Oreochromis niloticus: one gene and its partner. The protein of the gene in region 1 interacts with the protein of each later gene in a biochemical or structural test. Links are inferred from orthologs where the notes say so. Each region holds a gene or a part of one and is shown on either strand. Other genes may lie near its edges.

Region 1 (8,326 bases):
CTCCTAGGGCATGCTGGTGCCCTCAGTGACTCTTAAGTGTCTGCAGAGGCCATGAAGCTGTGGCTGGATGTGGCTAGGTGCCAGCTAAGCCACAGATTACTGGCACTATTGCTAACAGTGCCCCGGCTGCCAACACTATGATCTGCTGTTATGGCCTAATTGTTGTCTTTAGCTCTGAGGTGATATACCATCTCTCCCTGGGAGCTCCACGCAGCGCACCAACCAGCTCGTGCACAGAGGTGCAGTTGACTGAGGTTGGGCCAAATTCTTATGTACAGATCATTTCACACACTACTGTAACTTTCTGGTCTAACCTTTAAACAAGGCATTTCTGAAGAGTGTGAAGCAAAGCCAAATGCAACTGGTTGAACAACCTGAGAAATTACAAAAGGAAATGTGAGCATCAAATTTAGTTTAACATATTTTTCACTGGGTAAAGACACACTTTAGAAACCTTGCTCCATGCTTAGAGCCTCATGTGAATGCCACTCACCCTGGTGACTGAGCGCACTTGGAAAGTTGGAAAGTGTTTTCTTTAACCTACTAATCACCAGGCTTATCCTTCCCATATTGCTTTATTTAAGTATGGAATTACTTGGTGGCTGTTTGTCAACTGCACTGTAAATTCAGTCATGCTCAGTGATTTGCTTTACTTGAAGAAAGGCAAACACACTGGAAGTACTACCTATAGCAGGTAGCTTTATTTACACACCAAATTCATTTACACACATTTCTCACTGTGAGGAGAAAACTAGTACACCAAGAGAAGGAGTAAAAAGGCCAAGGGCACAAAGAATGAAGGCAACACAGCTACTGTGAAGGAAATGTACTCAACAAATGAATGACAGCCAGCATAGTGACTATATCTCACTTGCTGTGCTTTGGTCAGCGGCTTATGTCATAGACGGCAACTGACAATAGTGGTTGATCAAAGACATGGCATTGAGCGATAATTACTTCTGCAGCCTGCAGAGCAGCTGTCGGGTGAAGAAGATTACACTGCAACTGATGTTCTTCGGCTCTGTTTGAGTATTCATTACCACAGCAGCTTAGTAAGTCAAAAGAGGTCAGTAATATTCAAGACAGTAAAGACTGACAGGCTTTTTGAATGACCCTAATCAGATAATGTGGAGGTTTTGGAGGCGATTCTTGAAGTTCGCAGACAAAAGATGATGAGAAAACATTACCTTTACCACCTGCTTTATTATATTATAAATCTCTATGATTAAGATTTGCAAAGCAAAAAAAAAAAAAAAAGTATTTAAACCTTTTAAGGACATTTAAGGTTTCATGCCCAAGACTGCTATGAATACATGTAACTGGGGAAATACAACACAGCCAGGAAGCTTCTGATTCATTGAACTTCCTCTTTTGTTGAGCCCAGAGATGAATATCACAACACAGGCCCTTATCGGACTTGCTCACTGCCAAAACACACTTGAAGGCGCACGACCGAGTATATACTTACAAACACAAACACAGAGAGATAATGAGCTGACAGCAAAGCACATGACTGAATGCAATTTAGCAAGACCAGGTACAAAGAATCAGATCAATTTTTTTTACTTTCATATCTAGCTGGGCATAATGATTCATCATTCATTATTTCAAACAAGGGTCACGTTTCTGCAAGGTTACGCTTATGAAATAAAATGAAAATGGTTTGTGGAACGACAAAGAAAGAAAAACACTAAAACAAACCTTGAAAATTTTGCATGAAGTACATACATATATATATATATATATATTTAGACTCAGAAAAATATTAGAGAACAAAGTGGTTTATTTTTGCGCATAGACTATAAGAGGGGCCTAAAAGCACCAGTGTCAACATTAAAAATAATAAATGGTTGCTCAATGATGCCGTGCAACTACACAAACTAAAGTTATCTGAGGTCTGTGTGGCCAGTATTTCTTTTTAAGAACACTGCGAGCCACACTACAAATAATAAAGTCATATAATTAAACCAACTAAACAGCTGAATGGATTTCTGTATTTCACCTTCAGGCTAGTCAAAAACGAATCCAGAAACTTTAACTGATCTTTTTCTGCAATTTCTGCAATAAAAGTCAGAAAAAAGTCATCACAACTAAGTAAATAATAAAGAGCAGTCTTTAAAATGTCAATACAAACACCATTAGCAGGGAAAATAAATGTAAATGCACAAGATTAAAAAAAATACAGCATTATATGTGGAGGAGTGGAAGTGAAATTGTTCCACAAGGTGTGTCTTGTATTGACGTTGGAGTCATAAAGCCATCAGTGACTGATGACTAATTATACCAATTACCACGATGGCAAAAACAAACTGTCCCTACCCTTTGGTGACATCAGGATGAGGAATTTGTCACTTCCTAACGTGTTTGGAGACAGTGGGCGATTGACGACTTCCATTTGTGTCAAGGAACCACTGAAACACTTCAAAAGCTGAACACTGTGTGTCTAGGCTCTGTTTATGTGGCTGTTTACTCTCTGCAACACCTGGAATTAGCCCAAGGCAGATGTTGACCCATACAGAGCCTTATGTCCACCCTCCCTGCATTCATTTGCCGAGTCAGTATTCAGCCTATAAAAATGGTAATTGTCCTCTTACACAAATCTAAATACAAAAATACAAAAGTATATGGTTCACATTTAGTTCTGAGACACAGAATCAACACCAAAGCTTTATTTCCCGCCCCAGCGGAAAGATTAAATATACTGACTGTATTACAAGCCTTTTAGATGTCTTCCACCCACCTTTTTTCTTCTTCTCATTTTTGCCCTTATAATTATTATTCTTTTGTTGTAAGCTGTGAGGTGCTGGTCTGTTTGTAATGAAATCCAAATGGAGAAGGAGCTGGCTGCTGGCCGTAAGCTGGAACTGCCCTACTCCCACCCCCCACTCCTTCTCCTTCTTCCTCTGGGAAACAAGCCAGAGATGAAGGGAACGGGAATGATGGGTAGAGATGGACTGATCGATGGATGAACACATAGAATGAGCGCTAGAGATTCATAAATAGATAGCAGAGATTCAAATGGGGGAGGAAAACAAAGTGCGAGAAAGTCTCTCAGAGAAAGCTTAAAACACTGGGGGCCGCTCGGAGGGTGATGGGAAACTATGTGTGTACGTGCTGCAGGAAGAGGCCTCGCAAACTGGGTGGGAACACACGCGCTCCAATAAGACCAGAGGTTGTATGTCCTGAAGAACACGCATGTGTGTTCTGTCAGTTCTGTCACTGGAGGAGTGTACTTTGGATCAGTGCATTGACTCACCGAAAACAAACACAAAATTCTGCAGGCCAGAGGATCGGAGGCACGCTGTATCCAAGACAAACAAGCAAAATCATGAAAATATAGTTGCATTGACTGAGGCCCAACCTTACCACCCCCACGCCTCCATCCGCCCCCTTCTCTTGCTCTATTGCACACAGACAGTCTGTCCAGTACACACAAAATCAATTACCTTTTGGCCCATTATTAACAAAATAAGTCAGATGGACAACTCAAACAGCTTGTGTCAACAGCGTAACGTTTCTCCCCTGAATGCTTTATTTCAAACCAACAATTAATTCAGCTGCCAAGTCCCAAAAGAGCTGCTTAGTGACACTGCTGGTTCTAAAACTCATATTTTCTTTAAGCAAGTGAAAATCTAAACACTGCCCTGTGTAGCAAATTTGCTCCAGAAGAATACAAGCGACAACTTTGGAAATTTCATGAAAGAGACAATTGTTCTTAAATCAAGGTGAAAGCCAAGCTGCTGTCATGGCCATATGCTATGTTTTTGTCAGCCTATTAGCAAGATTTTGCAAAGACTAATATGCTGAATTTCAATGTCATGTTGGAGAGGTGGACTACGTGCAAAGAAAGAATGCATTAAACCCATTACCCACAAAATGATTTCTCTTCAGGTATCATTAAGATCTGTGTTTTTGCAGTGTAGACCTTTGCAATCTGCATCTCCAACAAGTATTTTCTGCTAGAAAGGAAGGATCACATTTGATTTAAAATGTCTGAGCCTGGAGAGATGATTTTCAGGAAGACGCTAGATCAAACAGGGACATGGCTCATGGCTGAATTACCAGCATGGGCCATTTTTCATGGGGTCAGGAGAGGTTGCAGAAAAAAAAAAGAGAAAAAAAAGAAGAAAGCACAAACATGGTCAACTGAAGCATCTTGAGTATTTGCAGGTCCGTAAGTGGAGCTGGCATATATGTGGATCAGAGTCTATAGATGCATGTGTCTTACCCCTCCCCAGTGCACATGCTTTCACATTTAATTTTTCCCCATACTTCCTCTCCTCTGTTACTGTTTCCTTCAATTTCTTTCCACATCTTTTATTCTGCCTTTGCTGCTCATCACAGGGACTCCCCAGAGGTGGAGGATAATCCCAGTTCGGAGCAGCAAGTCTTTTATGTCCTGGGAAGACACACTGGTTAGAGTGCTGCCAGTTCTTTTTCCTCTCTACTGATACCTCGATCAGCTTCCAAGCCTTGCTGTCTCCCGCTCTCTCTCTCTATTTCTTAATGTTTGTGCTTTTGAACATGTTCTTTCATTATAAAACCCATTTCTTTTGCCAGGGATGCGGTTACCACTACTAGCCTGTGTTTACACAGAATCAGCAAAACAAAAACACAATGGAGTCGGTTGCCTCTTGAGGTGTTGGAGAGGAATCTGCCACTGACTGATTCTATGCACTTATGTATGCTCTGCATGTTTTCTAAAGCGCCCAGTCAAGGTCATTTTACAAGAATGTAATAGAAATGACTCTAAAAGCTGTGTTCATGCAACTAGGACTATTATTTACTGTTATCAACTTCAGCAACTCAAGGCGGGTAGCTGCCCTTGGTCACTGAAGATTTATTTGTCATCCACAACTGCCCCCAAAATATATTCTTGCATATTTTCAATTGGTATACCATACTCTAGCCGAATTCTTTTCAAATCAAAATCACAAGATAAAAAAATCACCATTGAATATTTATTTTAGTCCAGGTTACAATGGACTCTAAAAAGTTCATGTTAAACAAAAAAGTCCCCAATAGAGCAACAAAACCACTAATCACACAAAGGTTGTTATTTCTCTGCCTTCCTATACATCATTCTTGGAAAGTCCAGAAGATTGTGGCTTTCAAGGAACAATGTAAAAAAAATATGCAGCCCAACACCCCAAACAATGTGTAATGTTGATGGAAAAGCCAAAGACCAGCCAAATTTAAGGGGAGTTAAGGTAAAGCAAAACCTCCAATAATGCTTGTATACAATTGCAAGTGCTTCTTTATTTCCAAGAGATTCACAGCCCTGCTTAATATTTCAGTTTTAAGTTTCAAGTTTATTCATTTATATAGCACTTTTAAAAACAACAGTTGTTGACCAAAGTACTGTACAATAACACAGTCAAAGCAGAAGACATACCAAATAAAACAGAATATAGATTAAGAAAAAAATAGAATCATGGGAAGAACAATAGACTAATGTTATGTTTAACGTATAAACATAACATTAGTGAACCATGACCTCCATCAAGCAACCAGTTTAAATTAAGTCTTGTCAGATTGAGTAGGTTACAATAGGGTCAGATATTTAACCAACAGTTTAAGCAAAAAAAGTATTGTTTTTTTAATGCAAATGTTTTTTTTCTCCATTTTGGTAAAGAAATACAATTTATATGTTTTCTTTAATACTTGTATTATTAAGGTGAGGTTTTAGTACAGTATTATAAACCGAAGGCTGAAGAGCCAGATTAAACTTACCACATAAATTCACAGGTTGCTGTCATTTTACTTTAATGAAAAGAAAAAAAAAGTTACTGTGTAAAAGCAGACATCTGATACATAATCTTGACCTTAAGAAAAAATTAAAACGACAGACAATAAACCCTTATAACAAGCTATTTGGTGAAGCACAAAGACTTTTTCAAAGCTTTCAGGAATTTGTTTGCATTTGGCCAGTGCAAAGAAATCTGAATGGCATCGACTGACAACACTGCAGCAGTTCTTAAGTGACAGTTGCTATATGTTTTTTAACCAGGCTTGAAAAAGGAAAATCTTTGTAATAAAATAAAACATATACATGTTGGAAAAGCTAAAACATGTGATCCCTTCGACTAGTCTCAGGTGTACACAGAAACATGGGAAAAGTTTTCAGGCTTTCAGGCAGAAAATGAGTAATTCTTCCACTCTTACCACCGAACAATGATCCCTCAGTCCTATCAAAAGGTTCCTTTACTGCATGATACTTTTTTCCGATGATGCAATGATGCAACACAGATTTTCTGTGACATTTGTGCTGGGAAAGTAATTTTCGAGAAGGTCCTTTCCCCATCGCTAAAATCCATATTTCTTCTTGCCTGTGCCTCTCATGGCCTGGATGCCCGTGAATTACGTGTTGAGATTGGCTTTGTGACAGAGGCCAAATAAAGTGGGTGTTATGACTGGCATGTAGAAGCACTCTTGAGAGAAACAGGTGTCGTTCATTGGCTTACACCAATGTGCCCATAACTGCAGAGCCATGTGATTGGTGGAAGGAAGACACCACTGCTCAGAGAGGAAGCCGCTGATGCCAGGCGTGTTTGTGGGCACGGGGCAGCGGAGGTGAAGGGAGAGAGGGAGGATGAGGAGGGAAGAGGGCGCCGCAAAGAACAGACCACCTGGATTACAGGCCTCAAAGGCCAGCCTGACAGAGTCAATCTGAACAACAGTGAACAGAAGACAGCCAGTCTGCTGACTTCCCCTCTCTTGCATTTTCACTGGCAGTCTGCCAACAAACACATGCTGCCCAGCAAAACTTTCAAAAGAGGCTTCAGCTCGGGTTTTTCCACCAACTTAAAGGCCTTTTTTTTTTCTTTGCCCACTGAAAAGCAAAAGTAAACTGATAGAGCATACTAGGGTTAAGAGGATAAATACATTAGCTGTTGGCAAATACACTGGGATGGACCAACATTGGCTGACTGGAAACTTTTAACATACCACTCAACCCTATCACTTACAATTTTTTCTTATTTTTATTAAACAAAATTTAAATACTCACTTATACACCAAGTCTGTAGTACTGTGAAAAGTATTTGTCACTTCCTAATTTTTTTCCTTCTTTTTTAATCCATGCAAACAGTGGGGTACACCTTGGAGTCATTAGTCAGTCGCAGGACCAACCTTTCTGTAAATGAGAAAGCAATTGCCCCCCTAAACCTAATAACTGGATGTGCCTGCCTTGGCAGCAAGAACTGCAATCAAGCATTTGGGATAACAGACAATTAGTCTTTCACATTGCTGTGGAGGAATTTCATCCCACTCTTTGTAGAATTGTTTTAATTCAACCATATTGGAGGGTTTTCTAGCACCACTCTCAAACCTTCATTTGGTTTTGGGTTGGGTTTTTTTTAGTGATTCAGAGGTATACTTGCTGGTGTGTTGCAGCAAATCATTCAGGTACATGTTTGACTGTTGGTACGATGCGCTTTTAATTTTAAATGCTGTGTTAGCTTTACACCAGACGTAACAGGAATAAAATCTTTGAGTTTTGTCTCGTCGTCAATAGAATATTTTTCCATCTTGATGGGAACCACCAATGTTTTTTTTTTTTTTTAGCAAATATGAGATTCATATTTGCATTTTTTTTTTACCTCTTTTTGATTTCAAGAATTATCAGAATCCAGCAGTGTTTTGTTTTTGTCATTTTTGCCAAATCTCTAATTGTTAAATCATGAATTCTGACTTTAACTTAGGCAAGTGAAGCCTTCACTTTTTTAGATGTTGTTCTGGGTTCTTTCGTGACCATTGAGACATTCTTTGGTAGGCTGGCCACTCATAGGAAGGTTCACCACTGTTCCAAGTTTTCTCCATTTGTAGATAACGGCTCTCGCTGTAGTTCGCTGGAGTCCCAGAAATGGTGTTATAAACCTATCCAGACTGATAAATGTCAATGACTTTGTTTCTTACCCGTTTTTGGATTTCTTTAGCTCGTGGCATGATGGGTTGCTTTTTGCGATCTTTTAGCCTACTTCACTTTATCGGACAGGTTCTATGTACGTGATTTCAACACGTCTGTGACTAGTGAAATTGAACTCAGCTTTCCAAGAAACAAATGTGGTTAGCTTTGATTTAACAATAGCGGCAATTGCTTTTCAAGGTAGGGCTTGGGCCCTAAGTAAGTTTGGAGCTTTATTCCTTTAATAAAGGAAATCATCCTTTAAAATCTCATTTTGTATTTACTCAGGTCATCATTGTTTAATACTAAAATTTGTTTGATTATCTAAAACATGTTAGTGTGACAAGTATGCAAAAAATAAAATGGCACTGTGTATGAGGTCTTAGTGTATTCATACTGTTTAGTGTCCATGTGGGCTTT
Region 2 (7,446 bases), on another chromosome or scaffold:
AAAAGTGATCATTTCAGCTTGTTGATTGAACACAACACTGACTTCTGTCTTGTTAATTAGAGATAAATGTTTCATTCTGACTGTGAAATTTACAGCACAACTGTCACGTGTAAATCTTTTTCCTGTTACAGCAGCACTTCTGACCATTGTTATTAGAAGAGTGTCTGCTGAACAAACAAACGATAAATGGAACAATAAAATGATTTGGTTTAATGCACGCCCCGCGCTGGCATTATGGAGCCCAAACAATTAGAGAAATGAGTTTGTGGCCCAAAGGTGTCTGGTTTTGAATCCTCAGTGGGCCGACAAGAGCGCGGGCCTGTAAGTAGATGAGAAATGCACTTCTGCTCCTCACATCTACTGTCAAAGTGCCCTTGAACAATGTTCGGTGGCCAACAACACAAGTGCTGGGCATCTCCCAGGTCTATAATAAATCAAAAACTCTGCAGTAAATGCATGACACTTGTTCTGGTAGATTGCACATTAGTTTTTCTTTTTTTTTTTTCTTGCTGCCGAGTATCTCAGCAATCAAAAAGCGGACGCCACTCTCAATTTCTGTCCACCCTGTGCTCGTGCTGTGGTCTATGACAGATTTCCAAACAGTAAGAGTTTGAGCTGGCACAGTGGCAGTAGTTAGGGAAGCTGTTAGTAGAGGTAAGTGGCTGGGCAAGTACTCTGTGGAGTCATCCTGTGAAAAAAAATACATTTTATTACAGCGATTTCTCCTTTACATAATTCAAAGTCACAAAGTAGCAACAAGCAGGGGGATTCTGAAATTACTTTGTGTTTTCCACGATGTGCAAAAGAGATGTGCAGAACACACCTGCAAGAGCACACACACACACACACACACACACACACACACACACACACACACTCTCATGTCAAAACTTGCCACTTTCATACAGCAGCAGCAGCAGCGGCGGCGGCGGCAGCAGTGTTTTGATGGCAGATAAGATTCTGCAGTAATGAAAGGCAGCCAGTGGACAAGAGAGGAGAGAGTTCAGAGTCCAGTCTTGTGACTGTTGAGCAGCCTCGGCATCATTTGCATTTGGCCATTTGAATGTCCTCTGGTTCTGTTGCAGGCTACTGCACATCACTCAACAGCAGCTCCCGGGACAACAGCAGATGGCAGAGTCAAATCAAGCCCCGTCCAACACAGAGGATCCTTTGAATTACAGCACGCAGGCCAGACACTCAAACACTCACAAAGCACAACTTAAAAAGTTGGGCTATAAACGTGGAGGTTTTACGTTATCTGTGGCAACAGAGGACAAGTTGAACTACCTTGAACATCTTGTGTAAGTTCAGGTCAAATAATTAAGCAGCTTAAATGTTCAACAAAAGAGAGGCTAAGAGACAGACCCCCAGACACAGGCAGTATTTAGAAGGCTTTAAGAAAGTTTGACTCTTCTCTGCGTTACTTTAGATTGGTAGCCTAAGCAGTTATGTGGAAGGCAGAAAATTAACTGAACCTTTTTTAAAAAGCCTCATATTCCAACATCCAAACAGGTTATTTCAGAAGCTGAACTGCAGCTTGTACTCTGCCCTCTTTCCGGTAACTCTCAGAAAACTTCAGCCCCTGACCTTTTGCCTCCACACGGATCCAAAGTCCAATGAAGCAATAAGATATTTGTGAAAAAAAGGAACACCTACATAAAGGCCACTCAGAAACTCTCGCCGAGAAAACATCCAAGCCTTTGAGATCTATCAAAACACATCTGACATGACGGCCAGGTGATGTGACAGGCTGCAACAGACCAACTTGAAATGATGGGTGTTTTAGTCTGCAGACTAGACTAATCTCTATCAAAGGACCCTGGGGAGGGTAAAGGTATTCAACATTTTCAGAGGTGGTGTAAGTAACAAGCAAAAAAACAACGAGTATTAATGGGAATCACCAACTAAGCCACACATCAAGTGCGCACCTTTTTGAGTGCATTAAAAAAAGCATTACCTTGATTCTGACTGTGTAATAAAGTTGTTGTAGCAACACTGCTTTGCAACATTTTTAACAACCTTCGCCTACACTGTGTTTACTGTACATGCTCAGGGGTTAGTGTCACTGTCCCTGCTTTCCCCTGAGTGCTACTGCAGTGACACATGCAAAGTCTTTCTCAATGAATATTCAACCCAAATTCATTTTTACACCCAGTGGACACAGGTGGCTTTTAACACCTTGAAACAATCACATATGAGTCAACTATAAGACCCTTTACGCTCGGAGGGCCATTAAAAATCCCTTAAGACTTGCCAACTGTAATCTACACACCGGTGCAACTGTGAAGCGTTTCCCTTTGGTGGTGCTAAAACTACAAGATGGGGGGCTGTGCAGTGTTTTGACCCGACGTGATGAACTACATTAACTGTACTAACGTTACATTACAGCTGCCGTGCTCCAAGCAGAAGACGGTGCGCACTGTTATTAAATTAAGCCAACGGGTGACATTAGTCATTCGGTGTTCGTGCTGCCAAGCAGACTGACAGCCCAGAATACACTGTGAAAATTAGCAGGAGGGTTTCAGGAGATTCAGAGGCGGTGTGTGCGTGAATGGGGAGAAACATTTATAGAGAAATGCCTCTATCGTGGGCCTAATTTGAGCCACTGATCCGAAGGATACGGGCACTGGCTACCGTCACTGAGCGGCTGTGCGGCTAAATGGAAAGCCACACGGGCAGGTTTATCCCCCGCTTCTTTATGCAGCGATTTCAGCGACACATCCATAAGCGCCCCTGGCCGCCGTGCGACACACGAACAGCGTTACCGATCCCCGACACAAACACACACATACACACACACACACACACACAGAGAAAAAAAGCGCACGATCTAACCACTGCCCGACATACGCGCACCCGTGTACGTTTCCACCCGCAGCAGTATAATAATAACATTGTCCAGACGTGACAGTGCGCTCGTGTACAGATTCCCTTACCTGCGTTCGTCCACCCCACAGTCAGCCGGAGAGGCGCATCGTTATCATTCGACAGGAGGAGGCAAATCCAATGAAAACGGTCGCGACACTTTTGGCAGGAAGCAGAAATGGCGAGGCAGGCTTCGAGGGAGGAAAAAATCAAGTCCGAAATAATTTCTAATAAGCCTCGTTTTGATTTGATATGATTTTTTAATTCTACAAATTAATGCTGCGCCTGTGAGCGAGCCGAGGTGTGGAGCGCGTATTCTGTGGAAATTGTTTATTCTCGGAGTCCCCTCGCTGTGGAGAAGTGAGCGCAGACAGCTACACTCCTCCTCCTCCGCCTGCCGCTGACACCACCCTTAAAGGAACAAGCCTTCGCCGCTGCCCACATACTCCCTCTGCCAAGAAGGAAGCGCTTTTTAACATTAGATGTACAGCAAATGGTCTTAACGCTGTTTTTTTCCATATTAAACTAAGTCATATACACCGCCTACGGTTTGTCTCACACCAAGGGACATACAATCGAAATGCTTAATTAGCAGATTATTATTTAATCATTTAAATTATTAAGAATGAGCTGGGCTAAAATGACCTACCAAGGAGGGGATCTTTTTGGTTACGTCTCATTCTGTCTTACTTTAAAAAAGAATGTTCAAAAAGTTATGAATAAATGCTGATAAAACTTTGTAGGTGTGTGGAGTGGGGTCATGTTAATAATCCAAAATTTCCACCAACATCCACAAAGGTCTTCGAGGTCAAGTTAACAATTTGTTGGCTGAAAACTTTCATAAAATGCCTGTTTTCTTTAAAACCTACTGCCCGTGTTTGTATTGGCAACAAATAAGAAATGATACCGGTATATGGAGATTCTAAATATCACATTATAGCTTGCATCCAAATATCATGTCACGTTTGACCTCTGATCTCATTTTTACATTTCACACCTGCTTTTCTTCAAGCTGAACCAAAATGTGTTCTAACTTTAACGAAAGAACTGTCAAAAGAAAGAGAATGAGCTGCCTGGTTAGTTAGAAACATACTGTAGTAAAATGTTATATAATAATCAATACCTGTTATCCATTACCTGCTGCTACATAATGCTTACATACAAAATACAGCTCTTTTCTCTTAAAAGTGAATATTGCCCACAGAGTGAGCGACCATTCTCAGATTCATTCTTTTTATTATTATTTTTGCTTCACTTTTTTTTTATTACAGCATGTCTATATAAATAGAGAGTGTAATTCCTCAAATGGCCACTTGAGGCTGCCTCAATTCCCAGTTTAACATCCTTATTAAAACTTTACAATAAAAATCACCATTTTTCCAGGTTGGCCTCTGCAGATAGCGTTCACCATTGTAACTATTATGCTGGGAGATTTTTTTCTTGATCTTTTTTCTGTAGCTTAGCATTAGGGGTGAGGGTGCTTTCTTTAACAGGTGGGGCCTTTCTGCAAGGCCTCACCTTCACTAACTGAAGTCACTGAACACGACATCTCAAGTCCACTGTTGGCTTTTGTTAGCCTGTGACTTAGGGCTAATAAGCACATAAATGTATGTGTTGTTGCACCCATACAATTTATGAATGCTGCTTGCTAGCCTTACCCTAGTCCAAGTATATTAACTGGATTCTACATATTGAACCCTCAGTGTTAGCATTTCAGCCATGTCCGTTTTGAAGTGACCCTTCTTGGACAAAGCGGTGGAGTGATGTTATTAGCTAGCTCGCAAACTTGACTTTTGATTTGGTGGTTGATGGTTTCAGACTAATACACTAGAATTTCAATAACAATAACTTTGTGGACGGCCAGTACCATGCAGCACAACATATTATTCGCCTGATAATTCAATTAAAAATGTTCCATAAGGCACCAACATGGTGCAAATATGGCTGAGAGGTCGAGTTCAATAATTCACACAAGTGCAGGTAATAGCTGCTTATAGTGGCACATCCCAGGCCCCTAAATTTAAGCCTAAACCTGATATTTTAAACATATTATAAAGTTTAAAAAAATGTTTTCTTAATGTTGCAAAAGTGGACATTTTAATATGGGAGTCTATTGGTTCACTATTGGAGCCAGCCCCATGTGGTCACTAGAAGAACTGCAGTTTTTGGCACTGGCTTCACTTTGTAGTCCTCAGGGTTGCCACTTGTTCAGTATTTGGCATGAGCCTGTGTTACCTTCTTAAAGCCTTTGTTTTATTTAACTGTATTTGGATGTATAATTTGTAATCTAATTATTTAATACTATCAATATAAGTTGTTCCAAAGGGTTGACAGAATCATGCTTGTAGTAACAAATGCTACATTAACATTAACCACAGTGGTAACAGTTGCAGTTGTAATTGTAACAGCAGCTGGTTTACCTATATATAACAACCTCCAAAAGGTCCTTTAAAATGACAATAATAATAATTTAAAAAAAATTCTTAAAGAGGGACTTTTATGCTTTACTGCACAAAAACTGGTTTCTTTGTAACCAGGAGTGCCACATTTTATTTTCTTTCTCATTTATTATTTTCTATTGTTATTCACATAAGTGCATATGTAATATGGCAATGCCAGAATTGACATGCGGGGGAAAGAGTTAAAAAACAAAAAAAGAAAAAGGGGAAAAATGAGAAAGATTAGAACATAAAGCCTGGATGCTCATGCCTGGAACACTTAAGTGGCCAAAGAAGTCTGGTTAAAATGTATTGAGAGAAATTAGCAGTACAGGAAATGTATGAGCCTGAAAGCAAGTACTTCAAGTCTCCTTACTTTGTCAAAGTGCAACACTAAATTGGTGAATTTCCCCTTTAAGGAAGTGCTTTTTTAAATTTTCCTTAAAAATAGCATTGTAGTAAAAGATAATCCACCATTCACATTTTGCTTTGGAATAAAAATTGCTCTTCCCCTTAGATGAGTTAACAGAAACAGTCCACGTTCACAGGCAGACTACAGTAAATCTAAAAGACTAACATTTCTTAATCTAGCCATCTAAAGCAGGTTCAATTATAGCCCTTCAGTTGGATGGAGGATTAAGTAAGAAGTGCCCTAAATAACCTTGTTGTGAGCATCCCTAAACAAATCATTAGGTTGCTCCATATGAGACTGTCATAGTGCTGGAGCTGTACTGTCTGCCTCACAGTGACCAAGTGGGGAAAAGAACAACATAAATGGCATCACAGCACCTTTGGATATGATGCTGAGATGTCTCCCAGGTGTGTCACTTGACTGTGAAGCAGGGTGCCATTCGCCGAGCAGAAGATGCGCTCATGGAAACTTTTAAAATGTTTCTCGCTCGTCATGATTGTAAACATTGTAAATCTAAACCAATGATTGCGCACCTTATGCTTCCAAATAACCCCCTCTTTTCTTTGTGTCATCTTGTGCTAATCTGTGCTATCTGGTCCACTGGCCTGCAGTCTGTCAACTCAACATGGCCTTGAACAAAATGTCTCTAAGGACCTGGGGAACATTAGTGTTCTGGTGAATGAGAACACAACAACATAACCTACTTCCAGCCATCCCTGTCTCTATTTCCCCTTTTCAAATCCAGGTTTGGGGGGGGCAGTGTGTGTGTGTGAGAATGTGAGCGAGAGAGAAGGATGTATGTGTGTATGTGTGTGTGTGTGTGTTTGTGTGTGTGTGTGTGTTTGGGGGGTGTTGCTCCTCCTCCTCCTCCCACTGCTGTGTTATCACATCATGCTGTGTTATTGGCCACTTGTATTCAGCCAGCTGGATACTGTGCCTTCTAACCTGCGGTAACCCCACTGTGGTGTTTAAACAGTAATTCAGTTCATTGCCAGTAGTATAAACAGAGGCGGCACTCAACATGTCAGTCAGGTAAATTGGATAGTTTTCTTTTACAAGGCTGTTGTTCACAATAGGTGTTACCTGCAATTTGCATTTTGAGTACAGCAGCAGTTAAAAGTCTGAGCAAAGTCCTCGCCAAAGTGCTATTCATAAAAAGTTGATGTTGCTGCTGTTTTTATTGTTGCTGTCTGATTGCGCCACGAGTGCCGCTCAGGATCGCGATTGCGTTGAGACGTCAAAAGTTGGATGAGCAGGCTCCGCTCGGCAATCTGGACGGTATCTTGTACCTTGTAACCTCTGAACTGGAGTGACCTTTCATCTTTGAACTCTGACCCCGAATGCCACATAAATGGAGATACAATATCCTCCCTTTCATTCCCTCCCCCTCCCCCTCCATGCCGAGCAGCACCCGCTGAACTTTGCCCCTGAAGCTTTTCACAGAAATGGGTTTCAGGAAACTCTGTCCTTTGACCCTGAATTACAGGGACAGATTGTGACTGACGAAGAAGAAAAAAAAGAAAAAGTCTGAGGTCCTCATGTGAAAACAGTTTGTCTTGATGTTATTTATGTATGGGATTTAACACATTGTGTGGTGAAGGTTGGTTACAGATACTCACGGACTGGTTGCAGCTGTGTGAGGAAAATAGAAGTGCAGAAAATGGCAAAAGCTTTAAAAAAAAGAGGAAGCTTACCAAGTGTTTGAAAGACATTAGGAAATGGAAGTTGCTG

The links.
Region 2: the proteins of rxraa (region 1) and nrip1b form a complex in vitro, tested with the Homo sapiens proteins (2 studies listed by BioGRID). The link is inferred for Oreochromis niloticus from reciprocal best matches to the Homo sapiens genes RXRA and NRIP1.

Annotation. Positions count from the first base shown.
Region 1 is NC_031972.2:29,164,238-29,172,563, reverse strand, and holds the start of rxraa (retinoic acid receptor RXR-alpha-A), read right to left. Parts: upstream 3,277-8,326; 5' UTR 2,976-3,276; coding exon 2,741-2,975; intron 1-2,740. UniProt on the Homo sapiens protein: Receptor for retinoic acid that acts as a transcription factor.
Region 2 is NC_031975.2:3,168,707-3,176,152, reverse strand, and holds the start of nrip1b (nuclear receptor-interacting protein 1), read right to left. Parts: upstream 3,274-7,446; 5' UTR 2,937-3,273; intron 1-2,936. UniProt on the Homo sapiens protein: Modulates transcriptional activation by steroid receptors such as NR3C1, NR3C2 and ESR1. Also modulates transcriptional repression by nuclear hormone receptors.